Arabidopsis thaliana: one gene and its partner. The protein of the gene in region 1 interacts with the protein of each later gene in a biochemical or structural test. Each region holds a gene or a part of one and is shown on either strand. Other genes may lie near its edges. The genes, in order: LARP6c and PAB2.

Region 1 (15,119 bases):
TCAACAGTATGGGTATTTTTGCTCTCTCTAGAGAGGGTAAATTTGTGATTCCATCTGCAAATTATTCCTCCTATATATATATAGAACGTGATGAATCAAATTTCTTAAGTTGCAAGCCATGACTAATCTTGATGAGTTTCTTGAAGAGCTAAGTTCTATTGAATCACATTCTCAGAAAATCGTGAAGATAGATGAGCATTTAAAAAAGTTGGATGAAGAGACGAAAGAAGATGAAGATGAAGATGCGGCGAAGATAATTCAAGATCGGAGTACCGCGAGAGAAGCAGGTTAATTTCTTCTCCTTCACCTTGTAATTTAAAGTTGTTCCTCTCTCATTCTCAAATCTTGTTGGGTCTTGGAAACGCAGAAATTGCTCTACTTATGGATCTCCGTCAGAACTTTCTTCCACCACCATCGATGTCATCCTCCTCTCTTCAACCACCGTCATCGTCAACTCTCGCACCATCGTCATCATCCTCTCTTCAACCACCCGCACCGTTGATAGACTTCTTTCGGTCATCAGTGTCATACTCTCATCAACCACCGTCATCTTCAACTCTCGCAACATCATCGTCACCGTCTCTTCAACCACCGTCGATGTCATCCTCCTCTCTTCAACCACCCGCATCTTTGAGGGAATTCTTTACGTCGTCAGTGTCATACTCTCATCAGCCATCTTCATCTTCAACTCTCGCAACATCTTCGTTCTTTCCGTCGTCAATGCCATACTCTGTTCGACCTCCCGATTCGTCTGATCGACCATCTTTGAGGGAATTCTTTCCGTCGTCACCATCATCCTCTATTCAGCCACCCGAATCATCATCATCTAAGCGAGCACGGCTTAGTAACATCTTTCCGTCACCTTTATCCTCCTCTCCGTCACCGTTTGTTAACCCGTTTCTCCGTCCGCAGGCCCAAGAACCAACAATACCAAATTTCATAAACCCAATACCACAGATCTCTCCAGGCCTACCTGCTCTATTCCCAAACCCTAACCCTAATCCTAACCCTAACCCAATCCCAAACCCAATCCGAAACCCAGACTTGGTGTGGACAAATAGGCTTCAACTAGTGTTTGATGACGCAGTTGTCAGACTTGGGGGATTATTCAGTATGCAACTTTATAATTTTTTTATTTATTTTGTTTATTCTTTCAACTCCTAACTATTTTCCTAATTTTTTTTTTTTTTTTCAGGTGCAACACCCAAAGCCATAAACGAACTAATTTCTGAAGAGGGTCTCACTGGTGACCAGATCCGTAGCCACTTACAAGTCTTGCGGGATCGTCAAAAGGCTATTGCAGACAAATTAGCCTTGGAGTGAAGAAAATATTGAAGATGAGAGATAGGATTAAATAGAAAGAGTGATAGTATAGAACGTTTCTTTTTCTTTTGTTGTTAATCTTGCATATTACAAACAATTACTATATCATAATAGAATTTATGTTAATGTTGGAGTTATTAAAAAAAAAAAAGTTAACCATAATAACATTCTTACTGTACGCATGAGTGATCATTTATCACAATCTATTAGAGCAACCCCAATGGGTGGGATGATGACAGTCCCTAAAAAACCAAAAAATAATAATATTTTAATTTTTTAACATAGTTTGACAACTAAAAAACCTACACATGTACATTTAATCTTCAGGTCCCTTATATAAGGGTTTTTGGAGCCCTTCTCTCCTGTGTCCCTTCCATTTTAATTATTTTTTTTTTTTTTATATTGTAAGGGACCTTAAGAGAGACCACCATTGCTGGTGCAGGCTGTAGAAAAATTTGTTTAGCTTCTCCTTCTTTTCTTAATTTTGACAGATAAGTCTCAGCCTCTCTCCCCCCATAAGGGTATGTCTTGACATTTAGATTCGTTGAATCAAAAGTTTTTCATGTTTGTTCATATTGTGGTCTAATCTTCTTAGGCAGATATGACCTCAGGGAAGAAAGATTATTATGAGTTGCTCAAAACTACAATCTTTAAATAAATATTTGGGTGATGAAACTTCTAGTTCTTTTTTTTTTTTGGTCTAAAATGAAACTATTACTTCTAGAAGAGAAATATCCAACTCTTTTTTTTATTCCAAGCAAATGATAACCAAAAATGCAATAAAGGTGTTAATTTTTATCATAAATATATTCTAACTATGGTCGTAACTTGTAATGGAACACCTAGGCATTTTTTATTTTTTTGGTGCACACCTAATTCGAGGAAAAAGGTTGAAGTAATCATAATTACATAAGTTTCTAACTATGGTCGTAATCGAACACATCTAAGGCGTAGTAATAATTAAGGAAAAAGGTTGAAGTAGCAAAACGACGAGGTTACGATTTGTAAATTCCATAAATGCCCTCTCTCATTTTCAACCTCAAAGAATCGTTTTTGGCTTTCATCAGCCGCTTCGTATTTTTGTTTTCTTCAGTAACGGAAAAAATGGTTTCCGACTTGGACCTCGTGACCCGACTCCGTGAGATTCTCGGTAGCTCCGACCTGAACACGGCGACTCCGGCAAGCGTCCGTCGTCAGTTGGAGGCGGATTTCGGTGTGGACTTGACAGATAAAAAAGCGTATATTAGGGATCAAATCGATACTTTTCTCGAGAGCAATGGCGCGGTAGAAGACAAACCTGAGAGTCCCAAGGTAGAAGAATACATTAATGCCGACGAAATCAAGGCGGAAATTGAAGGAGGCGATGGAGAAGACCTCGACGGAGATGGAAGTGGAAGTGAGGAAGAGAAGGAAGAACGGTAATTACTCTTGTAATGATTGTGCTTTATGTGAAATTGGATTTTTGAAATTCAAATATCGATGAATCAGTGATCATACACACACACAAAGATTGAGTATTTATAGGAATCTTTAGCATTTTTCAATCGAACCAATCAAAATGCTTCCGATGCATTTCTAATCAAAGACCACTTGTTTAATGACTTAAGTTTAAGGGATTATTGTTCATTGATGTGTTAGGCCAGTAAAGGCCAAGAAGCGAGGTGGTGGCATTACCAAAGTATCTCAGTTATCTCCACAACTTGAGAAAGTTGTTGGAGCATCTCAGTTAGGTCGAACCGAGGTAATTTTCATCTTCTTCCGACAACTGTTCTGCGAAGCGGAATTGTACTTTAGTCTTTTGTGTTGTGTATATTTATCAGGTTGTGAAGAAAATGTGGGCATATATCCGAGAGAAGGATTTGCAAGACCCAAAGGATAGGAGGAAGATAGTGTGTGACGAGTTGTTGCATTCCTTGTTCCGTGTTAAGACCATTAATATGTTTCAAATGAACAAGGCATTAACCAAGCATATTTGGCCCTTAGGTGATGGAGATGGTAATTCTTCCTTGTCATTATACAATTCAGAAAACTTTCACATGAGACTGCATGATATCTGTATATATATCCCTAGTCTTCCTGTTCAGTCAGTCATTGATCCTAAATAGCTAGATCAGCTAAATATCCCTAGTCTTCCTGTTCAGTCAGTCATTGTATCATGTGTCTGAAATCAAGTACCCCACTGTAGAGAGTGATCATGTGTAATTGTGTGGAAATAGTGTTCATCAACTGTTAATAGTGTTGAATATTGATATTTTCCCTCAGCGTTTGAGTTGTTAGGATGCTTATATATTTGTTCAAGAGACCTCTCTAATGAACATCAATTTTGTTTAGTAAAACAGTATTATAGATTTCGGGTTGGAGACAGCAGTTCCTGAGTTTGTGTTACCCAAGTACAATGAAATGATTTATTTTTTCCAGGGTGTGCTAACGATGTGAAAGAAGAAGATGAAGATGAGGCATCAGAGGGAACAGATAAGAAAGGGGAGCAGAGCGAAGAAGTGGAAGAGAATAAGGAAGAAGAAAGTGAAGAGCAGGAAGTTAGGAGTTTGCGGAAACGCAAGAGAAAAAAGTTTGTTTTCTCTTTCTCCCTCAGTTCTTGTAATTGTACAGCTAGTTATCGCCACCCTGTGCCCATAAACTAAGTTTTCTCTATTAAATAGGCCAGCCAAGTCGGTAGAGAAGCCCAAGAGAAAAGGAGGAGGCGGCTTTGCTAAAGTTTGCAGCCTCTCGCCAGAGCTTCAGGCGTTTACTGGGGTGACAGAATTAGCCAGGACAGAGGTACATGTCTGACTCGAGGGAATCAGTTTCTCTTCGTTATTGAACTCAAGCTCTGAGCCTAAATTTCTAAGCTACTTGTCTAATTTTCTTAACCAAGTCTCTTGTTTTGACATTTTGTCTGGTGAATGGTTTCAGGTTGTGAAATTGCTTTGGAAGTACATAAAGGAGAACAATTTACAAGATCCGAATGATAAACGCTCTATAATATGCGACGAATCATTTCGATCTCTGTTCCCTGTCGAGTCCATCAATATGTTTCAAATGAATAAACAGCTAACAAAGCACATATGGCCTTTAGAGGATAATGCAGGTATTTGATGACTGGAAGTTCTTACATGTTCTGGGAGCCATCTTTTTCCGGTTTAGGCTTTTTAACCGTATACTAACTGTTGTTTGTCTCTGGTCTAGGAGAATCAGTTAGCTCTAAGTCTCCAAAGAATGGAAAGCAAAAAATGGAATCAGATGGAGGTAAGAAAGCTAGATGAATTTAAACTTATCCCATTTCTCATCACTGTATAAACAAAGCATATGCATTCGGTCAGACACAGATAGTGAGGAACCAAATGAGAAAGATAAAAAGCAGAAGAAAGAAGTTCTTGCTCCCCTTCCACTTTCAGATGCTCTTGTCAAGTTCTTGGGTGATGGAGAAAACTCGCTGTCGAGGGCGGATGTGGTAAAGAGATTGTGGGAGTACATAAATCATAATGATCTTCAGGTATGCCATTTGCTCTCTACACTCTGTTTTTTCTTACTTACCTGCTTCTTTACACCATTTTCTTAACTTAGGATCCTTCTGACAAGAGGAGAGTCATATGCGATGAGAAGCTGAAAGAACTCTTTGAAGTTGATTCATTCGAAGACACATCAGTCTCAAAACTTCTGACCAACCACTTCATCAAGGCCGAACAATGACTCTTTAGGAAGTAGCCAGTTTTCCACGTAGGCAAAACCCAGTTCTCCTTTCCTGGACATTTTTTTTGGATCAGTAGAGGTCGGTTCAGGACTTGTAACGCGCGACAAAGCCATTTTGGATTTGATTTGGTCTCCTCCTTCACTTTACTGGTAAGTTAAAGACTAAAAAGGTATCTCGATTGTGAGACTTGTAAGCATTGCGTTTTCTGAATTTGCTTGCAAGTGCAGCCTTTTTGAGTTCTTTCAAATGTTTGCCCTTTTTGGTATATAGTGACAGAAACCAAATTCAAGGATAATATATGTTTTAAGACCAAACCAATTGTTTTGATCATTTCCTCGTTTTGCATATTCTTAGTTGTACAGTGAATTTTGTTATGCATCAGAATCCGAAAATGTTGTTACAAGGTTTTGTCGCTGATTGAATATGCTCAGCAGTTGGTCATAGCGTTTTGTTAAATCTCATATAAGTTTAAGTTCTCTATTAAAGTTATTAGTAATTTACAAAACTTTACCATCAAAACATGTCAAAGATTATTGCATAGAATGGCTCATGTTTCAAATTCTCGTGCCGTGAAATGACCATGACCATTTGACGAAAATTGTGGCTTTACACATGATTCTACCAACCAATTGACAATAGTTCACTTCAATAACTAGAAACTCTAAATACCTAATGATAGAATTAGAGAAAGCAGACAAGTATTCTTTTCAAAACAGTGGTTGAGCGCGGAGTCCAACATTTAGATGTGGAGTCTCTTATGGATCGTTCTGGCCGAGATTACATGACTGAGCTGAATTATAACAGCAACACATTGGTGTCTTTGAAGCTTGCAAACGTAGGGATTATGGATTTGGATCCCCCGCTTGGTGTTTCTCTTCCTTGTCTCAAGAGCATGCATCTTGCAGACATTTCGTACGATGATGGAGAAACTCATCGCAGGTTGTCCTGTTCTTGAAGACTTTGCCTTAATTCTGCCTGATGATGAGCGCCACAAAGCTATGCCTTCTCTGCGTGTGAGGTCTCAGACTTTAAAGAGCTTTCTGTTCGCGTTTGAGTTTAATACCACTGGTAAAGCTTTTGCAGTTGAGATTGATGCTCCAGCACTCAAGTGTATGACTTTCAGTGATAGTCAATCTGATAAGATTGTGTTGAAGAATCTGAATTCTCTTTCCATGGTCGATATCAATAGTGACTTTCATCTTAAGTATGGGAAAACTTTGGGTCCAAGAAAGAGAAACGTTATCCGCGATTTTCTCATTGGTATCTCTAGTGTGAGACATATGATCATCTCTAAGCTTACTCTAGAGGTAATATATATTCACTTCCATGCATACTTCTAGCATTCAAATATAGTTTAATGATCTTCCTTGATGTAAATTTGTTTCTTTCTTTCGTGTAGGTCCTCTTTCGATATTCCAAATTGGGACGGAAATTTCCCAAATTTGATAACTTGACTCGTTTGGAAGCTACACTCTCTAGATCCATGTTAGAACTATTTCCATCCTTTCTTGAGAGCTTCCCGAACCTGAAAAATCTCATATAGGTAAGAATCTGTTTGAATCTGTGATTTTGTTAATTAGTAGGAAGTACATTAATTGTTGGATATATATTGTCAGGTGCTTTCTGATTTAAGAGAGGCAAAGGAAATCAAACTTAGCCATGTGCCTCAGTGTATGTTATTGAATCTGGAGAGTGTTGAGATCAATCTGCAGTATGGTGAGATCAAGAGAGTGATTATCATGGAAGAAACCGTGAAGGAACTAGTGAGATATTTTCTTGAGAATTCAGTAGTTCTCATCAAGAAACTGATTCTGTGTTTTGAAGATCTTTCTAAAGCAAACCAAGATTCAGATATCTTCAAGGAGCTTCTTAAATTCACTAAGCTTTACCCGCGTTGTCAGATCATTATCCACTGAAAATGTCATTCATGAATATCTACTTAGAAATCTTTTGTTATGATAAATATGGAGACATGAGTAACATTTGTTGTTTTCTACATTTTGGTTTAAATCATTCGGTTATGTTCTCTACAATGTTTCAATCAAAATGGCAAAATCAACTAAATTTGGGTATTAAATCGGGAAGTCAACAAAAGTACACTATTGTACGATTCCAAACTTAGCAATTTTACGGCGAGTAGAATTGAAACATTCTTGCATCACAACTTCTTGTGATTCCAAACTTAGCAATCGGGAAGACAACAAAAGTACAAAATCAACCCTGGGCTTTTGTCTTGTTTGTGATTCCAAACTTAGCAATTTACAGTCAGCAAGTAAAATTAACATTTTTTTATCTATTAATATGGGTCGACAAATAAAACATACATTACATGGTCAATTATAATGACAAAAAAAAATACCAAATCAGAACAAAAGCAATATGAATCTTTATATTAGTTCTTTATTAATGTATATTGTGTAAATTTCATTTTATATATGTAACAAAATGTGTTATTACTTAGAAAGAGATAGCTAAATAATTTGAGAGAAAAAAAAAAAGGAGAGTTAAATACACAGTCAAACGTGGACGCTTATTTATCTCGTTAAAAATCCATAGTTTGCGCGAAAAAACAAGGCTTCAAAAGTTTTCCCATGTTTTAATATTATTGGGAGAGTGAGAAATAACCGAGAAGAACAAATCAAATCAATAGAAAAAAAGTATAAACAAAATTCAAAACTATTCAGTATTGATATTTGTTTACATTGAAAAAAAAATTAACTTAAAAAATATAGTTTACACAAAAAAGAAAAACCAAAAAAAAAATTGTTAGAGATTTTTTCAGAGTAGTGAGAGGAAAATGGCGCAGATGCAGCGAGAAGAAGTAGAGTCCGTCACGACGGAGAAGAAAAGATTAGACGGAGGCGGTGGATCTTCCGGCGCTCAGGCAACGGCGTTCAAATTCAACGCTCAAGCGCCGGAATTTGTACCGCGATCACATACCACCGCACCAGCACCGCAGGTTTCTCCTGTCTCCGGTTACTTTTATCCTTGTTTTCATTACAACGGTGGTTGCATAGGAGGATGTGGCGGCGGAGTCTGCGGTGGTGGAGGGACCGGCGTTGGTACTCAGTCGTCGGATTGGATCTACGTGGGAGGAGGAGATCCTACTGCTCAGCATCAACATGTTCATGATCCAGCGGCTGCGTTTTACATTTCGAATCCGGCGGTTCAGTTTCCGGCTAGTCAGAACTCGTCTTCTTCGTCGAAGAATCTGCTTTCCGATGATCTCCGCCTTAAGATCGTCAAACAGGTTTTCACTTTTTTTTTTTTTTTTTTTTACTTTAATGATAGGTAAAATATTGAAAATCATTATGTCATGAGATCTTAAGATCATATATGATTTACATTAGCCTATCAATTTTCATAAAATAGAAAACCTAACTTGACTCACAAGAAACCACTTTTATAGGTTGAGTACCAGTTTACGGACATGAGTCTCCTAGCCAACGAGTCCATTTCAAAGCATATAAGCAAAGACCCTGAAGGTTATGGTAAGCCTAAATTTTTTTTCATTTAACTTGTATATGATCCTTGAGATCTCTGCTCTGTTTTGCATTAATATATATGTTTAAAATATGATCCTTGAGATTTCTGCTCTGTTTTGCATATTCATATATATGTTTAAAACGCAGTGCCCGTATCCTATATCGCTTCGACCAAGAAGATCAAGGCTTTAACGAGTAATCACCACCTAGTTTCACTTGCTCTACGCTCCTCTTCAAAACTTGTAAGCTGCTTCTTTCTTTACTCTCGACTTACCAACTAAATATTATAAGATCCAAGTATACTGAGAGATCTTTGTGAACACAATTAAGGTTGTGAGTGAAGACGGCAAGAAAGTTAAGCGTACAAGTCAATTTACTGATAGAGACAGAGAGGAATTGCAGGTAAATTTGAATATCACTAAAGCTTCATTGTATTTATTATCAACTATATATGAGTTCTTGTTACTCTTTACTGTTCTGCAGGGCCGGACTGTCGTTGCAGAGAATTTGCCAGATGATCATTCTTACCAGAACCTTGAGAAGATCTTTGGAGTTGTTGGAAAGTAAGAAGGCTTTTTACTTTCATTTTAAACATTTTCTCTACATCAATAAACAACAACTCTGGATGCAATTTGTCTCAGCGTCAAAGCGATTCGTATATGTCATCCTCCAGAATCCAACTCGTCTCGTCCAAAAGGCGATTTCTTGATGAGCAACAAAGTAAGTACCAAGTCCTGTTTCTACTTATCACGTCAACTTAAAGAGCTTAACATATCCATCTTGTTTTACTCTAAAGATTCACGCCCTTATCGAGTATGACAACACTGTTATCGCGGACAAAGCAGTGAGTAAATCTCTACTTTCAACTATCTTTTGATCCAAGGCTCTGTCTATTAGTTTCTGAGATATATAGCAAATGCGATCTTACCAGGTAGAGAAGCTAAACGATGAAAGAAACTGGAGGAAAGGGCTTCGTGTGAGGCTGCTTCTTAGATGCTCGGTTGATTTCTATATTCTCTTCTTAAGTCACACATTTCTCTCTAGACGTTCTGAGATTAATTTCGTTGATATACTTTGTGTGCTACAGCCAAAATCGGTGCTCAAGAACCGAAGAAACTTCGATGGAATCCTCATCGATGATGAACTCCCTTCTTATGAATCAGGAGAAGACTCTCCGCGTCTCCATTTAACCGAATCACAGCTTGATAACGATGTTAGTACTGTTGCTTAAGTCCCACGAAATGTTTTTCCATATATATATAGAAACTAAATTTTCTTGCTGTGCACGTTAGGGTGATGACAACAATGTTGGTGGACTGTGGGGTAAAGGGAGAGGAAAAGGACGAGGACGATCCCCAAGAAGCTACGCAGTAGGAGGAGGAGGACGTAGCTTCGGGATTGGGCTCGGAGTCAGCCTCGGGATACCCAGCCTGGGGTCACACGAATCTTCGTCTCCTAAAACAGCAACAAAGGGACCAAGAATGCCTGATGGAACCAGAGGCTTCACCATGGGACGTGGCAAACCTTCCATCTCACTCTCACCTAACAATCTCTAAATAGTTACCCACCACAAGGACTGCTATTTATAATTGATTTATTATAATAGAGGTAAAAGATTTTAGAGTTAATTAACCAAATAATACATATGGATTGGTTTTCCTAAGATGCATTCAAAAGAAGCAAGGCACATGACTTGGGAGAAGATAGTGAAGGCACGGTGACGTTTTTTGAGGGTTCGTTTTATATAACTTTTTTCATTTTTTGAGGCAATTTCTTTTCTGTATGTTTAATATGTTTTATTTTTGTGAGATTATTATTTGAATAATAAAGGGGTAATTTATATAGCACAAGAATTGCAACCCTCTCAACTCTTTGTTTTGATTTAGATGAGTAATGGATTTGAATAAGTGACTGAAAGATTGGGTGAAACTTGAAAACTAATCAATTTTCTTTCTAAAGAAAAACTAAAAAAACATGATGAATAGTTTATAAAAAGCACAAGCACAAGAAAGGAAATAATCAGGTAAAATGTTACTATCTTCTTGCATCCTAACTAATTCCAGTAACTTGTATCTATTGACATTCCCAAATGGTTTTTTAACCGGTTTGATATATATTAATTTTTAAGACATATTCGACAATTCTTTAACAACCTTGAAGAAGGCGGAGTCACTTATTGAATCCATTATTCATCTCAATCAATATAAGGAAGTGGGTTTTGTTTACAATAATTGCCATTTTTCGATTGGATTTTGTTTACAAAACCCAATACTTGAAAAGACATTTTTCAATGACCTTAGATTGGATTCAATGTTGTGAAAAAAAAAAAAAAATGGATTCAATGTACAATTTTTTTCTAAAAATAAGTGAAAAGACAAATGAGTATTGAGATAACAAAAGTTCTTGCCAAGGTTGTCTAGTAATTTCATAACCTATGGTAGTTGTCAAACAAACTAATTTATAGTATCATATTAATTATAATAAATGTATAATCTTTAATTGAAACAAAACCTAATTTTACTCCCAAATTAATAGAAAACCTTCAAAGGATGGAAATTGTTGGACATGTATTTACATGAAACCAAACATGCAATATCAGTAAACCAACTTCATAGTCTATACTAAATTACGTACCGATTGGTAGATAGAAATAATGATAACTAAACTGATCTTAACGATTGGTATTGGAGAGAGATTTTCAAATCAAGAGTTAGTAAGAAAAAGAAAAAAAGAACTTAGAGATGTGGATCAAATATTTTGAAAATGATGAAATCTTATTAAAAATTGAAATTGATATACGACCTGTCCAGATACAATGAAGTTGTTAGGTTACAACATCAGCATGTTTCAAAAAGGGTCAAGCAGGTACATCCAATCAATTTATATAACGTAAATCCTGATTTTCAGAGCAATATTATTTGTATCTTTTATAACCTCCCTAGTTAATTAGTAATAAAATATTTAATTTAGTAGTATCACAAGATGGAGCTTTAAAAGTTATCTTTAATTCCCACTTTTGAAAATGATAACGTCCATAAATACATTTCAAAACGTTTTTATTCTCCCAATAAGATATCAAAAAGACAATATCAACAACAAAAAAGACAAGAAAAAAAGACAAAAAATAATGATAGATAAAATACAAAAGCAAAAGAAAACGTATAGTATTGCTTAGAGAAAGAACAAACATATTGTGAATTAAAAAGAAAAAAAAAGAGGGACAAAAGTAGAAAGACGTGGCAAAAAGCAAACTAAATTTCGACCAATCCACATCTAAAATCTAACCTTCTTCATCAGATGGAAGGAAGCTACTTCACCACCCGCAGATTCTGCCATGTGGCTTCTCTCTCTTCTACAGCTCACTTCTTCTCTCTCTGTCTCTCTCTAACTACATTGAAACCAAACCAGAGTGCTTCAATGTCATTGCTGTGATTCTCTTTAAGTCCAGACATAACTCCCATATCTTCTTCTTCTGTCTTTTTTTATTTCTTTGAACCGGAGAAGAAGAAGAAGAAGGAGAAGGATATATGGGAGGCTGTACTTCCAAACCTTCCTCCTCCGTCAAACCTAATCCTTACGCACCCAAAGACGCGGTTCTCCAAAATGACGATTCTACCCCTGCTCATCCCGGGAAATCACCGGTTCGTTCATCTCCCGCCGTAAAGGCCTCTCCTTTTTTCCCTTTTTACACGCCTAGTCCCGCCCGGCACCGCCGTAACAAGAGCCGCGACGGCGGAGGAGGAGAGAGTAAGAGCGTTACCAGCACTCCTCTCCGTCAGCTCGCGCGTGCTTTCCACCCTCCGTCACCGGCGAGACATATACGGGATGTTCTGCGGCGGAGGAAGGAGAAGAAGGAGGCTGCTCTGCCGGCGGCGAGGCAGCAGAAGGAGGAGGAGGAGAGGGAAGAGGTAGGGCTGGATAAAAGATTTGGGTTTTCCAAGGAGTTACAGAGTAGGATTGAGCTAGGGGAAGAGATTGGGAGAGGGCATTTTGGGTATACTTGCTCTGCTAAGTTCAAGAAAGGAGAGCTCAAAGATCAGGAGGTTGCTGTTAAAGTCATCCCAAAATCTAAGGTCATTTTTACAGCTTTACTTTTTCCAAATTCTCAAGTTTCCATCTTAAGTTTTCTGCTTCAATTGGCTCAAGTGCTTCATCATTGTAGTGATAGCTATATCTGACAAATTGAAGATTCTTTGTGTGTCTTGTCTGATTTGTTTAGTAGATGTTAAACTGTTTCAAGGTAGAAGAACAAACCATCATAGTCTCCTTTTGCTTCATGATGAACCTGTAATTTGATCATTACGGTCTCTTGAGATGTTTCTGTTCTTCTCTACGAGCTTACTGTCCTCTTGTTTGAGCCATCTTTTTGAAAAAATTGATAGCGTATGTAGACTTTCACGCATAGAAATTAATACAAAAACAAGTAATAGCGAACACAGATGAGGTTGAAGTTTGTCAATGACACTTATGTTTCATCCATGTTTTTCAATAGCCAAGTTTTCAATGGTTGTAGATTAGCATTGCTGACTTTTCTGTGAACATTTCTAAACGTTTTAAATTGGTCAATAAATTGGAACATGGACATTTGTGCTTTTGTCAATTGTCATTAAGCAATTGAAATTTTGATGGTCCTTATTTGATGACTAAGAAAGTTAATCATGTAATCGAGTTAGTTGGTGTAATATACAGATAGGTTTAGTGTTAGCTTAATCCACAATAGACTGTTTCTCATCAGCTTTGGTTTGGCAGATGACATCTGCAATATCTATAGAGGATGTGAGAAGAGAAGTGAAAATACTGCGGGCGTTATCTGGACATCAAAATTTGGTACAATTCTATGATGCGTTCGAGGACAATGCCAACGTTTACATCGTTATGGAGTAAGACAATCATGTGCTTATATATTCCTGTGTCATGTTGAATCTACTAGGAGAGCTATCAGATTCTTATTTTCCCGACTTGGCTTACTTCAAAATGTTTAGCTGTGAATAAACATTTACTTTCTTTCAACTTTCAGGTTATGTGGAGGTGGTGAACTTCTTGACAGGATACTAGCAAGGTCTGCTTTTAAAGATTGTTATGACATTTGTTAACTTATGGTCAGAGATCCTTCTTAGAGATGTTCTATTGGCTGTCTAACTATTTCAAATTTACTTCTCTTACAGGGGAGGAAAATACTCTGAAGATGATGCAAAAGCAGTGCTTATACAGATCCTTAACGTCGTAGCTTTCTGTCATCTCCAAGGAGTTGTTCATCGAGATCTAAAACCAGAGGTGAACCGCACTTTTTGTCTTTGCTTTTTCCTTTCAAAACCCAAAAGAAATATTGTCTTAGTTGAATACCAATCTCACATTTGAAACACTTTCATGTTTCAGAACTTCTTGTACACTTCCAAGGAGGAGAATTCTATGTTGAAAGTCATAGATTTTGGCTTATCGGACTTTGTCAGACCAGACGAAAGACTAAATGATATAGTGGGAAGTGCATATTACGTAGCCCCTGAAGTTCTACACAGATCTTATACCACAGAAGCGGATGTATGGAGCATAGGAGTCATAGCATACATTCTCCTATGTGGAAGCCGTCCTTTTTGGGCAAGAACTGAATCAGGAATTTTCAGAGCAGTTCTAAAAGCTGATCCCAGTTTTGATGAACCTCCTTGGCCTTCGTTATCCTTTGAGGCAAAAGATTTTGTTAAGAGATTATTGTACAAGGACCCTCGGAAAAGAATGACTGCATCTCAAGCTTTGAGTCAGTAATCTCTAAAATATCCACATCTTTCTATATTTATCTTCTGTTTCTAGCTTTTCATGAATCACCAGTTGAAGTTACTCCACGTTTTTTTCCGGTTTTTACAGTGCATCCTTGGATCGCGGGTTATAAGAAAATAGATATCCCATTTGATATTCTGATCTTCAAGCAGATCAAAGCATACTTGAGATCTTCGTCTTTGCGCAAAGCTGCTTTGATGGTACATTTTGCTTCTAACCTTTTTTACTGTTTCCAAACAACATTTAAGGATGTGTTTGATATTTATTACCTTTGTATCTAGTTTGCTAACTCTTTTATTCTCTCCAGGCTCTGTCCAAGACATTAACTACCGATGAACTTCTTTATCTGAAAGCGCAGTTTGCACACTTAGCACCCAACAAAAATGGCCTCATCACTTTAGATAGCATCAGACTGGTATGTGCCTTCTCTTCCTCTCTGTCTCTCTCTGGTAGAAAGCAAACAGCTCAAAGCTAGATTTATTTCTGTTGGACAGGCACTTGCGACAAATGCAACAGAAGCAATGAAGGAATCACGGATCCCGGACTTTCTTGCATTGGTATTGTCTCCTTTCTGTTCTTGTCCTTTTGCTTAATCTGTTTAAGATACAATCCAAGGTTGGTTAACGAAAGTTTGGTGTTGGGAAATGACAGTTAAATGGACTTCAATACAAAGGGATGGATTTTGAAGAGTTTTGTGCAGCTTCCATTAGCGTTCATCAGCATGAGTCTCTTGATTGTTGGGAGCAGAGCATTCGTCATGCTTATGAGCTATTTGAAATGAATGGAAACCGAGTTATCGTCATCGAAGAACTCGCTTCTGTAAGTTTATAAGAAATTCGACACTTGCT
Region 2 (16,459 bases), on another chromosome or scaffold:
TTGACCACCAAGCAACCGGTGGGTTTGTGACCCATTGCGGCTGGAACTCGCTTCTTGAAGGAGTGGCTGCAGGGCTACCAATGGTGACATGGCCTGTAGGAGCGGAGCAATTCTACAATGAGAAATTGGTTACGCAAGTGCTCAGAACAGGAGTGAGCGTGGGAGCGAGCAAGCATATGAAAGTTATGATGGGAGATTTCATTAGCAGAGAGAAAGTGGATAAAGCGGTGAGGGAGGTTTTGGCTGGGGAAGCAGCAGAGGAGAGGCGGAGACGGGCAAAGAAGCTAGCGGCGATGGCTAAAGCTGCCGTGGAAGAAGGAGGGTCTTCCTTCAACGATCTAAACAGCTTCATGGAAGAGTTTAGTTCATAATCTTCATATATATAGATTCTATTTAGAAATTCCATAGCAGAAGTAAGATGAAAGCTAATGTAAAATATAAGAGATATGAGTTAAATTCAAATGGCAGCAACCTCTACCATAGACATCACTCTAAGTCTCTATTATCTTCAGCATAATCCTCTGTTTTGTTAGGAGAAAATCAATGGTTCAAGATTCACTATTTTCAAATGCTAACAATGAATTTGTTGAACAATAATGGTGGACCACTAACCCACACAAGGCGAGTTGCAATTTGTATTCTTCTAACTGGTGGACCACTAACCCACACATTATTGTCTCACTTTCCTCTAATATACAGACCCAATCCATTAGAGAAATAAATAATTCCGTAAATGGCAAAACAAAAGTATAACTGTTTTTATTTACTTGGTATTTTTTCGTACATGTACAACAATAAAGTACTAGATGTTTACATAGACGATTAGTAAAACACTTTATTGTCATGATTAAGACATTTACCAAAATAATAAGTTAAACAACAAGCGACGTATGCAAAGACGTACCGGAAACAAGTGACGTATGTCACGACGTCAAAATCGTTATTACCCAAAATAGTCTCCCCAGAATTCAAGTTTCCGTGTGGATTTTATGTGCTATATATAGATATGTATAAAAGTATAAGCTCTTACCACATCATTCAACACGACAAGAAAACATCACTTTTCTAGGAGCTTCAAAATCTCTGATTTCTTTTTATTATTTTTTAAATTTTCTTTTCGATCAAAGTCAAACATGAGTAGTGATCCTCATCGTAAGCTCCATGTTGTGTTCTTCCCTTTCATGGCTTATGGTCACATGATACCAACTCTAGACATGGCTAAGCTTTTCTCTAGCAGAGGAGCCAAATCTACAATCCTCACCACACCTCTCAACTCCAAGATCTTCCAAAAACCCATCGAAAGATTCAAGAACCTGAATCCGAGTTTCGAAATCGACATCCAGATCTTCGATTTCCCTTGCGTGGATCTCGGGTTACCAGAAGGATGCGAAAACGTCGATTTCTTCACCTCAAACAACAATGATGATAGACAGTATCTGACCTTGAAGTTCTTTAAGTCGACAAGGTTTTTCAAAGATCAGCTTGAGAAGCTCCTCGAGACAACGAGACCAGACTGTCTTATCGCCGACATGTTCTTCCCCTGGGCTACGGAAGCTGCTGAGAAGTTCAATGTGCCAAGACTTGTGTTCCACGGTACTGGCTACTTTTCTTTATGCTCTGAATATTGCATCAGAGTGCATAACCCACAAAACATAGTAGCTTCAAGGTACGAGCCATTTGTGATTCCTGATCTCCCGGGGAACATAGTGATAACTCAAGAACAGATAGCAGACCGTGACGAAGAAAGCGAGATGGGGAAGTTTATGATTGAGGTCAAAGAATCTGATGTGAAGAGCTCAGGTGTTATTGTAAACAGCTTCTACGAGCTTGAACCTGATTACGCCGACTTTTACAAGAGTGTTGTACTGAAGAGAGCGTGGCATATCGGTCCGCTTTCGGTTTACAACAGAGGATTTGAGGAGAAGGCTGAGAGAGGAAAGAAAGCAAGCATTAATGAGGTTGAATGCCTCAAATGGCTTGACTCCAAGAAACCAGATTCAGTCATTTACATTTCTTTTGGGAGCGTGGCTTGCTTCAAGAACGAGCAGCTATTCGAGATCGCTGCAGGATTAGAAACTTCTGGAGCAAATTTCATCTGGGTTGTTAGGAAAAACATAGGTATTGAAAAAGAAGAATGGTTACCAGAAGGGTTCGAAGAGAGGGTGAAAGGAAAAGGGATGATTATAAGAGGATGGGCACCACAGGTGCTCATACTTGATCATCAAGCAACTTGTGGGTTTGTGACCCATTGCGGCTGGAACTCGCTTCTGGAAGGAGTGGCTGCAGGGCTACCAATGGTGACATGGCCTGTAGCAGCGGAGCAATTCTACAATGAGAAATTGGTTACGCAAGTGCTCAGAACAGGAGTGAGCGTGGGAGCGAAAAAGAATGTAAGAACTACGGGAGATTTCATTAGCAGAGAGAAAGTGGTTAAAGCGGTGAGGGAGGTGTTGGTTGGGGAAGAGGCGGATGAGAGGCGGGAGAGGGCAAAGAAGTTGGCAGAGATGGCTAAAGCTGCCGTGGAAGGAGGGTCTTCTTTCAACGATCTAAACAGCTTCATAGAAGAGTTTACCTCGTAATAAGCAGAGAATATGGCAGAGAAGAGGCTGTGATGGCCAAAGCCGGCGGTGGAGAAAAAAGGGTCTTCGTTTCTCGATTTGAATAGCTTCATTGAAAAGACCTCAGTAAGAAATTGAAAATTAGTTCGATTCTGCTTAGTCTTTGTCTTGGTGATAAGAGTAGACCTGTGCTACAATAAACATATATGTATCAAATATACCATTTGTCTTCAGTTCCGAGTCTGAGAAATGTTACTCCTAAAGTAACAAAAATTGCTTCTGAAAACCGAAAATTGACAGAGAATGGTTACATATATACTTATATCAATGGAATAAATAGATTTCGCTATTAACTATGGCAGATTCAGATCTGCTCCATCACTGCTGCTTCCTAGCTATGTAGAGTTCTCGGTTTCCCGTTTGATCTGCAGCGCAGCCCTTACAACGTTTCCCCTTGTAAGGATCCCAATCTTCTTGCACGGAAAGCAAAAAGAAGTGTTTAGAAACTGAAAAGATCAGACCAAAATCAAACTGCAGAAAGAAGAAGAATTGGGATGCTTACCAGTTTTCCATCAGCATCAACAACGGGTAATCTTCGGAACTTTGTTTCCAGAAGCAACCTGAAGACCAAATGGTTACAGTTCTTGTAAGAACGTTGCTTATAATGTCCCCAGAAAAATCTTATTGAACTCATTCCTCCTAAGCCTCTCAACTTAATGTTTGCAAAGCGAAAACATAAAGAAGAAGATACCTGGCTGCATCTTCTAAATTGGTAGAATCACGGACAACGAGAGGAGACGGTGTCATCAAGTCTCCAACAACTTTTCCATATGTCTTACTGATCAGTTTCTGTAGTTCGTTAAACGTCTGGCCAAAAGAGAATTCAAGCATTATATAAGTAAACCTCATTCCAAGGAAATTCATGCAAATGAAACAAACAATAGTCCTCAGATAAAGCAAAACGTAGATAAACAGATAGGGAGAAACATACTTTCCAGGTACTGTCGACATCAGGGAACAAGTTTGTATCATTTTGACTGCGACCTGTTACAAAGGACAAGAGGTTAAGTTGTTTTCACCAAACTGCGCCATACAAAACCATAAAACGTTCATGACAACAAAACTAAACATGAAAGCTATGTGCCAACAAAACTAAGATCCACCAGAAGTCCAGAAGTGAAATCCTACAAGTAGATTATGACTTAAGCCCTTCTTAACTGATTATAATGAAACTGAAAGAGTGGTGATCATCACACCAACAGAAGATCTAAGAATACTTTTGAGTACAAAAAACATGTATATATTACCAGAGATGGAGTCCAATGCAAGCAAATCGTAATCAGAAACAACACCAACCTGCAGGAGAAATTACAGCAGAGGAGTAAGTAAGACAAAGCATATTTTGTTAACTTCTAAATCCAATAAATCAGTAACTAAACCGACGTTGCTTGTTATTCATGACTAAGTTTAATCACGAGCTTGTTGTTCAAGACTCTAAACAGAGGAACACAATGACAAAAGATATAGTTTCTTAGTTTTACCAGTGTCCAATTATCGTCAATTACAGGCAATCCCGTGACTTTCTTCTCAACCAGAAGTTCCAACGCTGAAAGACAACCAAAAAGACAATTTTTACGAGACTAGTACAAGGATTGACTGTTAAATTCATGGAAAATCTGTTCCCGCATAATTACCATCATCGACCGACGTAGAGGGCTTAACAACGTGCAAATTCTGTCTCGGAGTCATGAAATCCCCAACTGTGTAACCTCCATTTTTTGCCTGAAACACCCAAAAGAGCCAAAACAAATCTCAAACCATAAGCCAAAAGGGTTATTAGGTAAATAAAAGGATTTATCTAAAAGGAGCAAAGTTGACTCACCGGAACAGAGTTATTATTATTAACGCTGGCAGGAGCAGCGAAGAAGGCAGAGACGGTGATTGACGGTGAAAAAGTGGAGGAGCGACGACGATTAGAGAGAGGAAGAAGAGAGAAAGATGAAGAAGAAATCGGAAGGAAGCTTTGATGATAGAGTGATGTAAGTAGTGGAAGTCGAGTTATGGGCATAGAATTGGATAAAGAGATTGAACCCATATTCGCTTATCCTCTGTTACTCACAGATTCCAATGAAAGATTAAATCTTTTCTTTATGAAATCTGAGAGAAGAAACAAAGGTAGAAAATTTTGTTGAAGGAGAGAGAAGTGAAGAAGTAGAAGAAGAGAGAAGCGTTTTGATTGGGTGGTAAAATTCGGAGAAAAGTAGAGAGAACTTGTGATATGATAGGTGGTGGTGGTGGGGACATAGCCACATATCAATTTTTGGTATATGGTTGATTGGTCGGCATATTTACGTTTCCTTTGGGTCCTCAATTTCAAAGCGATATTTTCCATCTTTTTTTTTGGTCAAAACTCAAAAGTCAGATGTTAATAAATAAATAAAAGTCCAATTTCGATTTAACAAGAAACCCTAATTTGAACCCTCTTTTGGTTTCAAGTGTTATTGGATTTTTATGTCGTGATTGTGAGATTGTTGAGTGTTGCCATCAGTTGAAATATCTAGAGATTTTGATAATAGTTAAACCTTTCATACACTCGAATCTTTTAAATATTTTCGAATTAGTTCACAAATATCATCAGACTCAATAAAAGATGTGTTGCTGGCTTTGCTGCATGTCAAATAGATACAAAAAAAAACAAGTAGACTATATAGTTCATGACGCAATGTACTGGAAATCAAAATTCATGTACGAATATTCTAAATCCTTGGCGTAGATGAAGACTTTCTTTTTTTTGGTAAGTAATTTCTCATTCTCAAATAGTTGCAGAAAAAGTAGTCCAAAAACCAGATCAATAACTGAAACCAAAAACAATGGTAAGATTTCAACCAAACAAGATGTGTATCATGTTTCCTTAGACCTCTACTAAGATTTCTATTCGACTAGTCCCAATCAATCTAGAAGCAAAGTGTATAAAAAGTTTAAAATGTATTTCTTTCTCATTCAAACATTGTCTGCTGAGAATGAGACCCATTCATCCATTTTTACCAGGACACCTTTTTACCATAAAATAGAGCTTGAAAAACTGGTAAAAAAAATGACTAGAAGCAACAACCACCAACAGTCAAAAGGCCAAAGAGGGGGATCACCAGCATTGGCCTTATTGGTAATCAAATTCATCTTCCGTGAACACTAGATCGAACAAGCTAGAACACGCAACTAAATCAAAAGAACAAAGCAGATAGGTTTTTCCTTTGTGGTTTAAAAACGAAGGTTTAAAATAACACAAACGCAGTTATGTGGAGGAATCCAAATTCCCAGGGAGAAAACGAATAGCAAAGAAACAACTCCAATTGTATGGGAGAGACAAAAGCCAAAGATCAAATGATAAAAAGCAATTTAAGAGAGGTTCAAGGAAGCGAGCTGCTCGGTTGCACCACCAGCAGCGACACTCCTGAGAACATCCATAGCCTCTGCAACTTTGGCCTTGAGAGCTTCTGGTGACTCCAACAGATGGAGCACTTCAGTCTGGTCCATCTCCAAAAGCATCCCAGTCACTTTGGCTGCAGACTCTGCCTCAACCTGCTCCACCAACGGGTACAGCACCTCACCCAGCATCTGTACAAACACACCCAAAGGGTCACATTATTATAATCCAAGCAAAACCAGTCTCTCTATTTGGTTTTTAAGAGATTCTCTCACCGTCCTCTGTTGCTCTGGAGTAGCATTAGACAGATTTGAAGCCAAAGCTCCAATAGTCAATGGCATGTTGTTGCCCATATCATATGGAGGCACATCACCACTACCACCACGCCCTTGGGGATACCGGAACATCCGACCCCTTGGATGCATCTAACCACCATCCAAACAGAAAAACCATACGATCAACTATTAAAAGAGAGCCAAGCAAGCAAAGCAGCCTTTATTGCAATTAAATAAGGAAAAGAGAAGAACCTGTTGCTGCATCATGGGATTTTGCTGCTGGGAGTGTTGGATTCCCCCAGGACGTCTTCCTCCTCCAGGACGCTGCTGCTGTGGCTGAACCATAGGCATGAAGAAACTGGGTACAGGACCCCCACCAGGTCTCATTCCAGGAACAAGCTGCTGTTGGTATCCATACCCAGGCTGTGGCATTGCATAAGTACAGGTTAATATTATCCCAGCAGTTTCAAAATAGATTTGGAAAGGCTCAAGTATGAGTATAGCAACTATAGAGCTAAAGAATTTAAAAACTTTTCATGTGACTTAAAAGCATCTGTCAGCTTGTAATTCATTATACCCAAGGTAGAAAATAAACATGTGCATATCTTTGTGTAAAATCGTACACGGCTACTTAAAGTAGAGTAACATGAAGATTACCTGGGGAGGAATCATGGCAGGAGGGGCCTGACCATAGAACATTTGTTGTCCAATACCAGGACCACCCGGGGGATACACTGGCATGCGGGGACCAACAGACGGCTGCATTGCAACTGGCCTCACTTGGGAAAACTGAGCCTATTCACATCAATGCAAATACTCAGCAGCAGGAGAAAAAAGAGATTTTTCTGTGATACAAAAATACTAGGACATATGTTGTTTATGCTTTATATATTGTTGCACTTGATTATAAAGAAGAATCAGCATCAGTATTGATAATTATACGCAGTGGGACATTCTAAGACTTGTACATGATGGGTCCAATTGTTTAGAGTTGAAACTCCAACAGGCAAAGTAGGAGTAGTAAGTGTATCACAAGACGAGGTGATTCCAAGAGAAGCAAACCTGTAGTCTGACCCTTCTGTCTTCCTTCCGCTGTGCAATAGCCACATAGAGTGGCTTGCTTTCGATCATTTTACCGCTCAACTGTGACATCTGTACAGTATTCCACTGTTACTAACAATCAAAGTCCTCATAAATACAATCAACAAGACGATACAACTGACTTACAGCTTCAGTTGCTTCTTCGGGAGTTGCGAAAGCAACAAAACCTGAGCCTTTGCTTGTTCCATTAGGATCCCGCATCACCTGTAATATTTAATAAAAGAACTTCTTAAATAATGAACTAGGAGAGTCAACTCACTACAAATAAAGAGAGAGAGAGAGGGACATTGAACCTTGCTAGATGTAACGGTACCAAAAGGAGAAAAGATCTCTTTAAGTTTCTCATCTGAAATGCTAGGATCCAAATTCTTAACATACAAGTTTGAACTTTGAAACTTGTCTGCAGCTTCCTTCAAATTCTGTTCATAACGGACCCTTAATTCTGTTTCCCTCTCTGACTTCTTCTGGGCTCTACCAACATACCACTCCTTATCATCAAATTTGTGCCCATTGAGAGACTCCACAGCCCTAGCAGCATCATCAGCATTTTCAAAGTTGACAAACCCAAAGCCCTTGGACTTCCCTTCTCCATCTTTCATCACGACAGCACTTGTTATCTTTCCATACTCGCCAAAAGCATTCTTCAAGTCATCATCGGTAGTACTTTCCGCGAGATTCTTCACATACACATTGGTGAATTTCGTTTTGTTAGCAGTGGAGTCTCTTTCTTGTCTCCTCAGGAAAGGACCCACATACACTTGCTTGTCATTGAGCAACATGCCGTTCAGTTTCTCTATAGCTTTCTGGGCAGATTCTTCATTGGCGTATTGCACAAACCCATAGCCTTTTGACTGGCCTGAAGAATCGACAGCTACCTTGCACGACACAATGTTTCCAAACGATGAAAAAGTATCATGCAGTGCTTTGTGGTCGATGGACTCGTCCAAATTCTGCATATTATAGCCAGGTTTAGCATCAGAAAGAGAGAAAGAACACCCAATAAAAAAACTTACATAACTAAAGAAATCAACTACTTTTGCCAGACTTTTCAATGAATAATACAAGATACAAATTTTTTCGCAACAATCATCTCGTCTTACAGCAACTCAAATGTCAGAAGGATAGAGACAAGCGTACCTTAATAAAAATGTTGCCAGCGCCACTTCGGCGAACACTAGGATCACGATGAGAATACATAACCCTAATAGGTTTTCCATAAAGAGGTATGTAATTCAGTTCTTGGATCGCTCTTGCAGCTGCAACAAAGACACGAGATAAAGTACCATTAGAAGACAGAAGTAGCATTAAAAAGATTGATTAAGCAGGGGATAAGCTTTCCAACAGCACCAACCACATTGCATACATACAAACACCATAAAGTATCAACATTTAAAACACACCTCATTCAAATCCAGTACTGGTACTATCGAGCAAACCCTAAAAATTGGAAATTGTAAGAAGAAGTCCAAATAAAATTAAGGAGACTAACCGTCTTGGGGATTGGTGAAGTTAACGTATCCATAGCCAAGAGATCGGCGAGTGACCAAATCCCTACAGACACGAACGGTGACCACAGTACCCATTTGGCCAAACGCATCGAAAAGCTGCGAGTCCGTCACATTGAAATCGAGATCCCCCACATAAAGCGACGTGTTACCAAACTGGGTCGCCGTTGCTCCACCTGACGTCGCCGGAGCAGAAGTGACCGCCGCGGTCGAACCATTCGGAGTCTGACCCTGAAGTTGAACCTGCGCCATTATCTTTTTTTGGATTTTCGAAACTTTTTTGACTTTTTTTGGGGTTTTAGTTACTCTTCCCTCCCCTCTCGTTATTAGACTGAAACCAAATCGAAAACCCTAGAATTTGAAAGAAGAAAAAGAAATCGAATCGAATGACAAAATCAACAAAACTAAAGCCAAAGTTTTTATCTTTTCGTTTTTTTTGTGTTTTTATGGGTATATCAGAGGAGAGGGAAGATGAAATAGGGTAAGAAATTGCCGGCGGCGAAGCCTGCGACGGCGAGTGAGATATTTGGGGGCCGAGAGATTCTAGGCGAAACAAGCACAATTACGATAGATGAAAAAGAAGCATTACGGTTTCTCCTTTTCTTTGCTTTTATATTATTAACCCAACAAAAAAAAGAAACCTTTAATTCCCCTAGAAGAACCCTAGGAGTGTGAGATTGATCTCAGCCGTTGGATCGAGTCTGAAGTAAATCGTAGGATTGATTTTAGAGTTGCTGGTGAATTGATAAGGTCGTCTTCCTTCTCGTCACTTTCGGAAAAGTCAAACAGATACGCGCGTGTTTGACACTTTCGAATCTAATTAGTAACCAAGTTTGTTAAAATTTTGTACAGTGATGATATTTTCTTTGATTTATCTTAACATTTCTTAACTCTGATTAGCAATATTCTCACTGGATCTTGATGAATTTTGATTTTCCTAAAGTAAAAGTTGTTAATATTAATATTTACCGCACGATTTTATATGGTATGCAAAAAGTATCTTAATTAAATAACCAATATGTTAAGATTTGACTTATCAAAACAATTCAACTTAATACACGATTGGCCTTCCAGTAGAATTGTGACACGAAAGAACATAAGATGAGAGATGAGATTTTGCAATACGCAATCATTTCAAAAAGCATTACAATAGAAAGTAGAAACACACAAGGCATATATATATACGAAGCGTCATTACTCATTTCTTAAGATCCTTTGGATATTATACACAAACAAAAGAGGATCAACGGGATACACATTGACTAGTAAATATTTCCAAGCCTAAGTTAATACGACTCAGTGCACAGTTTCTTTCTAAGCTTCTTGTTGGATTGCACGTCTGAGCCTTAAGTCCATTATCAACATCTCCCTAAAGTCCTATCAAGATACCATCTCCCGCATCCTCACTACTTTGGTTTTGCCAAAGCAGCTTCCCCAAAGTTATGGAGTCTCCGACCAATGAGATAACGGTCATCACGGATAGAGTTGTGAAGGTTTCTAAACCAGAAGCAGAAGAGGCTCACTGAGAGACAACCTATCCATGCGAATCTGTAGACCGCTGAGTTCACTACTAGCGGATATCCGAGCATTGGGAACACTCCTCTCGCCAACACATAAGGCACACATAAAGCCGTTAGGAGTTTCATCACAATCGGGAACACAATCTCTCTAAGTACCCATAACCCTTGAAGCATATGGGTCTGAGATGAACCTGATATGGACATCTATCTAATGGGGTTATAACATTCCTCTTATTTTTATTCTGTTGGAAAATAAAAAACCAAAAACAGTATCAACGAGTATGTCTACAATCACACATCGGCCAAATAGATCTTCAACGCCAATTCCTTAAGGCTTACATGCACTAACATAAGAGACAAAAGACAAGAATTTGCAGTAAGCGAAGGTATTCTAGAAGCATTATCATAGAAACACACAAGGCATATGGACAAACGAAGCATTATTCTAAAGATCTTTTAGTTTCGTACACAAAAACAAAAAAAAGAGAATCATCAACGGATATAATAATTTACACATCGACTAATAATAAATCTTTCAAAGCCATCTCTTAACGGCTTAAGTACACAAAATGTTAAACGCCTCAGTGCACAGTTTCTTTCTAAGCTTCTTGTTGGATTGCACGTCTGAGCCTAAGTCCATTATCAACATCTCCCTCTCGTCCTATCAAGACACCATCTCCTGCATCCTCACTACTTTGGTTTTGGTTTTGATTAGCTAAAGCAGCTTCCCCAAAGTTATGCAGTCTCCGACCAATGAGATAACGGTCATCACGGATAGAGTTGTGAAGGTTTCTAAACCAGACATGGCATCTTTTTGCACAGAAGCAGAAGAGGCTCACTGAAAGACAACCTATCCACGCGAATCTGTAGACCGCTGAGTTCACAACAAGCGGATATCCGAGCATTGGGAACACTCCTCTTGCCAACACATAAGGCACGCATAAAGCCGTTAGGAGTTTCATGACGATCGGGAACACAATCTCTCTAAGTACCCATAACCCTTGAAGCCTCGAGAAGCCATCTTCTCTTACCCGCTCAAACTTTGCTCTCCAGCTATCATCCACTATTGGAAGCATATGATCCAGCATTACCTGTCCATTGACGTTGTTTTTTAGTGACAAAATATCTTCTTCTGCGGAAATAAGTTGCTGATTGTTGGAGAAAATTACTTACCAGTCTAGTCCAGATTTTCAAAAAGATGAGCCCAAGAGCCCAGTCTTGATACAGGAGGAACACAGGGCTTTCATCAACTGGGACTCTCATTGGGACAATCACCAAAAGCTCAAACAGAAGTCCAATTAGCACCGGAATGATAAAAACCTGTTCAATCACCATTTGAAAAGTACAGAATCCACATTTAGTAGAGTTTAGAGTTTCTCGTATATTGAAAATTTAACAGCACAAAACACTTACCCATATGGCTAACAGCACCGAGCTCTTGAATACAATCCCACACCATTTCCATATTTGGTTAAGCAAGACTGAAGTCCTCTTTGACTTGACATGCTCGATAGCATACCTGGCCCCAGATATGGTAGTCCAAAAGGCATATGTGCCAATGACGAAAGCATACAGATCTACATATTTTTAGGGAATACTGTTAATAATGTGTAACCCGTGCCAAAGAATGACTCAGAAGATCAAAATTAACAAACATTACCATTGCACTTGATGCCATGAGTTATTGGAAGAATGGGAATGGCACTGAATAGAGCACGTCCCAGCGAAACTGGCACAACTATCAATGCTGAATTGAAGAGAAGAAGAGTCACCCATGCAACAAGTAGAAGGAGAATTATCCGGACCACAAAGTTGTACCTGCTAAAAATATACATTCATATCAGGGGAAGCCCTAATGGGAGTCTTAAAGTACTTAGTCAACTCTATATACCAAGCGAAAAGTCCTGTTAATTTATTCAAGTATGCCAAAATTCTTAATATCAAACAAGCTATTAGCTTATTTTTAAAGTAAGAACTTACTCAGAATCAGATTGTTCGTCATCATCTTCATATTCCTCACCCGTGTTGACATTCCCAGCACGGAGGCGACTTCTGTTAGGGTCATCAGCTACTGGAAGCGCAGCCATGGCCCTGTCAGGTCCTCCGACCTGCAACACTTGTGCTCTGTTCTGCCTTCCTGGTTCACCATTTCCATTGTCCTGACCAATGTTGTCTTCTGGTCTTGGCAAGAGGAAGTCTGTTAAACCAAGCGCCCAACCAACCCCAGTGAACCAGCAGCGTAGAAGGGACTTAATTGTGGTCCGAAGTCTGAAATGCTCGATGATAAATGGAATGCATATTTGAAACAGAAGCATGTCGGCGGGAATCTCAGTGAATGGGTCGGATACACTGCATATATGCCCAAGTTAGGAAAGACCTAATCAAACACAAAATCTCCAAAAACAAGAGGTTAGTCAATATTTCTTACGATATGTCAAGTGGAAAGATTGAAGGAGCCATCCGGATCGCAAGTTTGACTGGTAAAAATACCAGCATCACAATCAAACTTCCATACACTGCAACTGATAACAGTACCCTCCGAGCATGCTTGTGCACTGGATCATCAATCAAATCTCGGAATGGATTGTAATTAGGATCTGCTGGATCACGAAGGAAATACAGAACTCCAGGACGAAGAACCTGCAATTGGCACAAAGTGAAAAGATATATTTAGATAGCAGCAGCGAAAAAAACTATTTCTAGAATGAAAATGAGTAGGGACAACACAGTACCCCTCGAAGAAGGCTGACGAAGATGCTTATTTGCAACATGTACATGATTCCAACAACCCAATGAACAAGTGAGCTTGCCAGAGGAGAAATTGATAAAAACTGTACCCTGTGGGACATTGTTTTACCGAACATCCTAACAGTGCAAACATCTAGCCACCAACCACACATCAGAGGAAAGACCCCAAGCTCGATGACCAAAAGAAAGGCAACTTTGATCATGGTCATCAGATGCCTCATTGCTGCCAAGAACTGTCTAAGGAGGGATGGTACAGCTTCTACTATAGATGCAATACCATAAAATCTTCCAACAGTCAGTGGCTCACCCTTGGCATATCGAATCAGTGCAATGATCCCAAGGTAAAGGAACACCAGAAATACGATAAACATGTACCCAACAGCCAGAGTTGTAATATCAGAAAGCTTTGAGGCCCCAACAGTAGAACCTTTCAGGAGATCAGTAGCAACTGATAGCGTATTGTTTGCTCCATTCAATTCACTTCCGTTGACTTTCATCATTTCAGTGAGCTGACCAAGCAGCCCATTTCCTTGGCCCTCGCTAGTCAAATTCGAGACAGCAGTCAGCGCACTCTTCAGAGTAATATTTTCCAATGAGAGTCCGGTATCTGTAAGATGCAATGATGCAGCCACAGCAGGGCCTCTAGCAGCAGCAAAAAGCCATGACACGTGATACAATATAATCCGTCCCAAGGTAAAGGGCACGAAGATAACAACACCAAGGAATATCATATTGCTTGCTAGAACCTGCAAAATTATGCACATCATGAAGATTTAATAAGGGCCAATAGTGAAGAAGAAGGAACATAGAATTTAAAATATACATTGCCAAAAAGTAGAAACATCAACTTACAGTAAAGGCATTCTCAACCAAATGAAACACTGGACCTTGCATTCCAACCAGCTCATCAAATGGAACGTCTTCTGCACCATCAGCGTCATCCAACCCATCAAACATCTGTTCAACCTGAGCCTCAAGACGAGCTGCTTGTATGTCCAACCTTGCCAGAACATTTTCAGGATTCCTTCTAGCAATCTGACCAACCGCAGCACCCTGATCCCCAGCATCTTCACCATTCCCCTCTCCAGCAAGATTCCTATTAGCCTGTCCAGCAGGTCTTCTTGCAGCACGAGCACCATTTCTGTCCACATCATCATCTCTCTCTTCTTGTCCCCCAAGCTCTCGTAAGTGCCTAAAGTAGTCCCTTAATGAAGTAGCTCCAAGGAAGATGAAGACAATACTTGCAGATAGTAAGAACCCATGCAAGCAATCAGTGAGAATTACTGTGGTGGAGATGTGGCTTAAGAACAACCTTTGAGCTTCACCAAAAGTTCGCACGAAAGCCAAACGCCATATCCAAAATGTAATGAAAGGTATAGTGAGAAGCCAGACAGAAAGCACAAAACTCAACCGCAGAAAGAACTGTAAAACATGGCAAGCTTTCATAGCAATGCCAACTACAAACTCCTGGAAAGGGAGCCTTGACGGAGCATTGTCAGCATATACTGGGGAGAATGAAAAAGGATGCTTGCAAACCTGCAGAGATGAAATTAACAATAAGCACGTGTTCTCTTCTATGTGGAACTCCTACTTAAGAAACACATATTAAAAGAGAAGACTTTAAACTGTCAACGTTGAATATGAGCACACAGAAATATGCAATTGCCCATTCATTTACCCATATCAAAATTCCTAAAAGGCATTCAAATCAACACGAATCCAGATCTTAATTAGAATACGAATCTTCAAAATCTCAACAATCAAATAATAAAGAGGAAAAGAAACAAAACCTCGCATTGACGAGCGTTGCTGTGATTAAGCCACTGAAGGAGACAATCCTGGTGAACAAATTTGATACTTCCGCTACAGGCACACGGATACCGAAGCGGATTGTCTGCATCACCAGGATTTCTGCAGATCCTGCAAACGTCCTCTTCATCTTCGTCATCATCAACGTACCTCGATCCTGTCGCCGTCGAAACTGCAGGATCCATGTTTGAGAAAGGATTGGGTGATGCCTGATTCGGCGAGGAAGAGGAAGAAGAAGAAGATACGGAAGGCTCGGAGACGACCTCAGAAGCAGCCGCGCCAGAGATGGACAACGAATCGGCCGGGGAAATCTCCATAGAGAAATCCGGGCTATGAATTACGTATTGCGCAGACGGTGGTAACGGAGACGGCAACGGCGGAGCGAGTCGACTCGGTGAGTCTGATAACGCCGAGCTAAGAGGAAAGGCGTCGTCTATCGCGAATAATTATTATCCTCGAGAATTAAAATAGAAAAAGATCGGAAAAAAAATCAAAGACACCGAGAAAATTGATTATATGGTAGGCCTAACCGGGTCTTGTAAACCGGTAGTTGACGAAATTGACCTTCCCTCTTGCACATTTAATGACGGTTTTTGTCGGTTACGCGTCTTTAGTCTTTGTTGGGTTTGGGCCTTAAATTGTAACAGACTAAGCCCATCTCATTTTTTTTTCTTTTTTTTTTGCTGAATCAGAAACAAAATCAATGGCTATCTTTTGCTGCTACTGCTGAATTACGAAAATTCTGTGAGGTTGAGGAAGCAGAGTGAAGAGAAAGATAGAGAGATAAGAAGAAGCCATGGGTTCGATTTCGATGCACATAACTCCCTCTACTGCTCTCCCTATACGCCATTTCAGAGCTAGAGTCTCTTGTTGCTCTTCTGGTAATTTCGTTTTTCCTCCGTTTGTGAGAATTGCATGTGATTGTCGAATTATAGTAATTGTCGATTGTTTGATGGCTTTTCAAATCGAGAAAATGCTTGAGCTTATATCTTTGTTGAGTATTTTAGAACAATCTTTTGTAGGAAAATGCAGTGACTATGACTGTCTTTTTGATTATTCTTGGTGGAGACAACAAATTAACAAAAGAATGTGTAATAATTCTTCCAAAGAGACACATTGGGATTGACTTAAGATTAGCGTTGTTGTGTAGGGCATGTATCATTTATCAAAGATGTTGCTGCCACTGAACCTCCAATGCATCTTCATCACTTACTCAAAGTGCTTCAAACAAGAGGTAAAATAATGCTCAATTTTGTTCCTCATTTATGTCCAAACTTATGTATTCGTTTCTTTTCATCACTTATTCTGGATTTGTAATAATGGAGAAAGGGAAACTTATGGTTCTTAAAGTCTCAGTTGCTTCATATATCTTCTGCAGGTGAGACAATCATATCTCCTGGAGCTAAGCAGGGACTGATCCCTCTTGCTATTCCGCTTTCGAAGAATTCGTCAGGTAAGACCACACTTTCGATAGAATCCATTAGCTTTTTCCAGGAGCTTGTCTTTAGTTTTGTTTTTC

The links.
Region 2: the proteins of LARP6c (region 1) and PAB2 interact in a test that uses a peptide from one of them, tested with the Arabidopsis thaliana proteins (one study listed by BioGRID).

The regions. Positions count from the first base shown.
Region 1 is NC_003074.8:6,593,655-6,608,773, forward strand, and holds LARP6c (RNA-binding protein), read left to right. Parts: upstream 1-7,786; 5' UTR 7,787-7,811; coding exon 7,812-8,264; intron 8,265-8,423; coding exon 8,424-8,505; intron 8,506-8,646; coding exon 8,647-8,741; intron 8,742-8,829; coding exon 8,830-9,062; intron 9,063-9,140; coding exon 9,141-9,219; intron 9,220-9,295; coding exon 9,296-9,343; intron 9,344-9,430; coding exon 9,431-9,499; intron 9,500-9,586; coding exon 9,587-9,712; intron 9,713-9,791; coding exon 9,792-10,055; 3' UTR 10,056-10,268; downstream 10,269-15,119. Other genes in the region: AT3G19070 (Homeodomain-like superfamily protein), read left to right, coding at 119-287, 368-1,111, 1,196-1,323; AT3G19080 (SWIB complex BAF60b domain-containing protein), read left to right, coding at 2,428-2,741, 2,962-3,064, 3,144-3,318, 3,742-3,892, 3,984-4,101, 4,237-4,411, 4,510-4,569, 4,644-4,816 and 1 more; AT3G19085 (F-box/RNI/FBD-like domain protein), read left to right, coding at 5,932-6,321, 6,414-6,557; AT3G19100 (Protein kinase superfamily protein), read left to right, coding at 12,027-12,572, 13,249-13,379, 13,517-13,558, 13,665-13,773, 13,876-14,251, 14,359-14,471, 14,579-14,686, 14,766-14,828 and 1 more. UniProt on the Arabidopsis thaliana protein: Transcriptional regulator.
Region 2 is NC_003075.7:16,329,388-16,345,846, reverse strand, and holds PAB2 (poly(A) binding protein 2), read right to left. Parts: upstream 9,557-16,459; 5' UTR 9,116-9,556; coding exon 8,848-9,115; intron 8,615-8,847; coding exon 8,496-8,614; intron 8,309-8,495; coding exon 7,652-8,308; intron 7,563-7,651; coding exon 7,485-7,562; intron 7,410-7,484; coding exon 7,320-7,409; intron 7,053-7,319; coding exon 6,915-7,052; intron 6,681-6,914; coding exon 6,510-6,680; intron 6,408-6,509; coding exon 6,258-6,407; intron 6,174-6,257; coding exon 5,955-6,173; 3' UTR 5,533-5,954; downstream 1-5,532. Other genes in the region: UGT73B2 (UDP-glucosyltransferase 73B2), read left to right, coding at 1-371; UGT73B3 (UDP-glucosyl transferase 73B3), read left to right, coding at 1,134-2,579; LEJ1 (Cystathionine beta-synthase (CBS) family protein), read right to left, coding at 2,954-3,028, 3,121-3,178, 3,310-3,425, 3,550-3,602, 3,866-3,914, 4,100-4,164, 4,253-4,340, 4,441-4,653; CER9 (RING/U-box superfamily protein), read right to left, coding at 10,983-11,474, 11,557-11,703, 11,797-11,960, 12,044-12,204, 12,364-12,732, 12,812-13,023, 13,116-13,877, 13,984-14,667 and 1 more; AT4G34090 (cyclin delta-3), read left to right, coding at 15,737-15,983, 16,091-16,174, 16,319-16,393. UniProt on the Arabidopsis thaliana protein: Binds the poly(A) tail of mRNA. Appears to be an important mediator of the multiple roles of the poly(A) tail in mRNA biogenesis, stability and translation. In the cytoplasm, affects both translation and mRNA decay.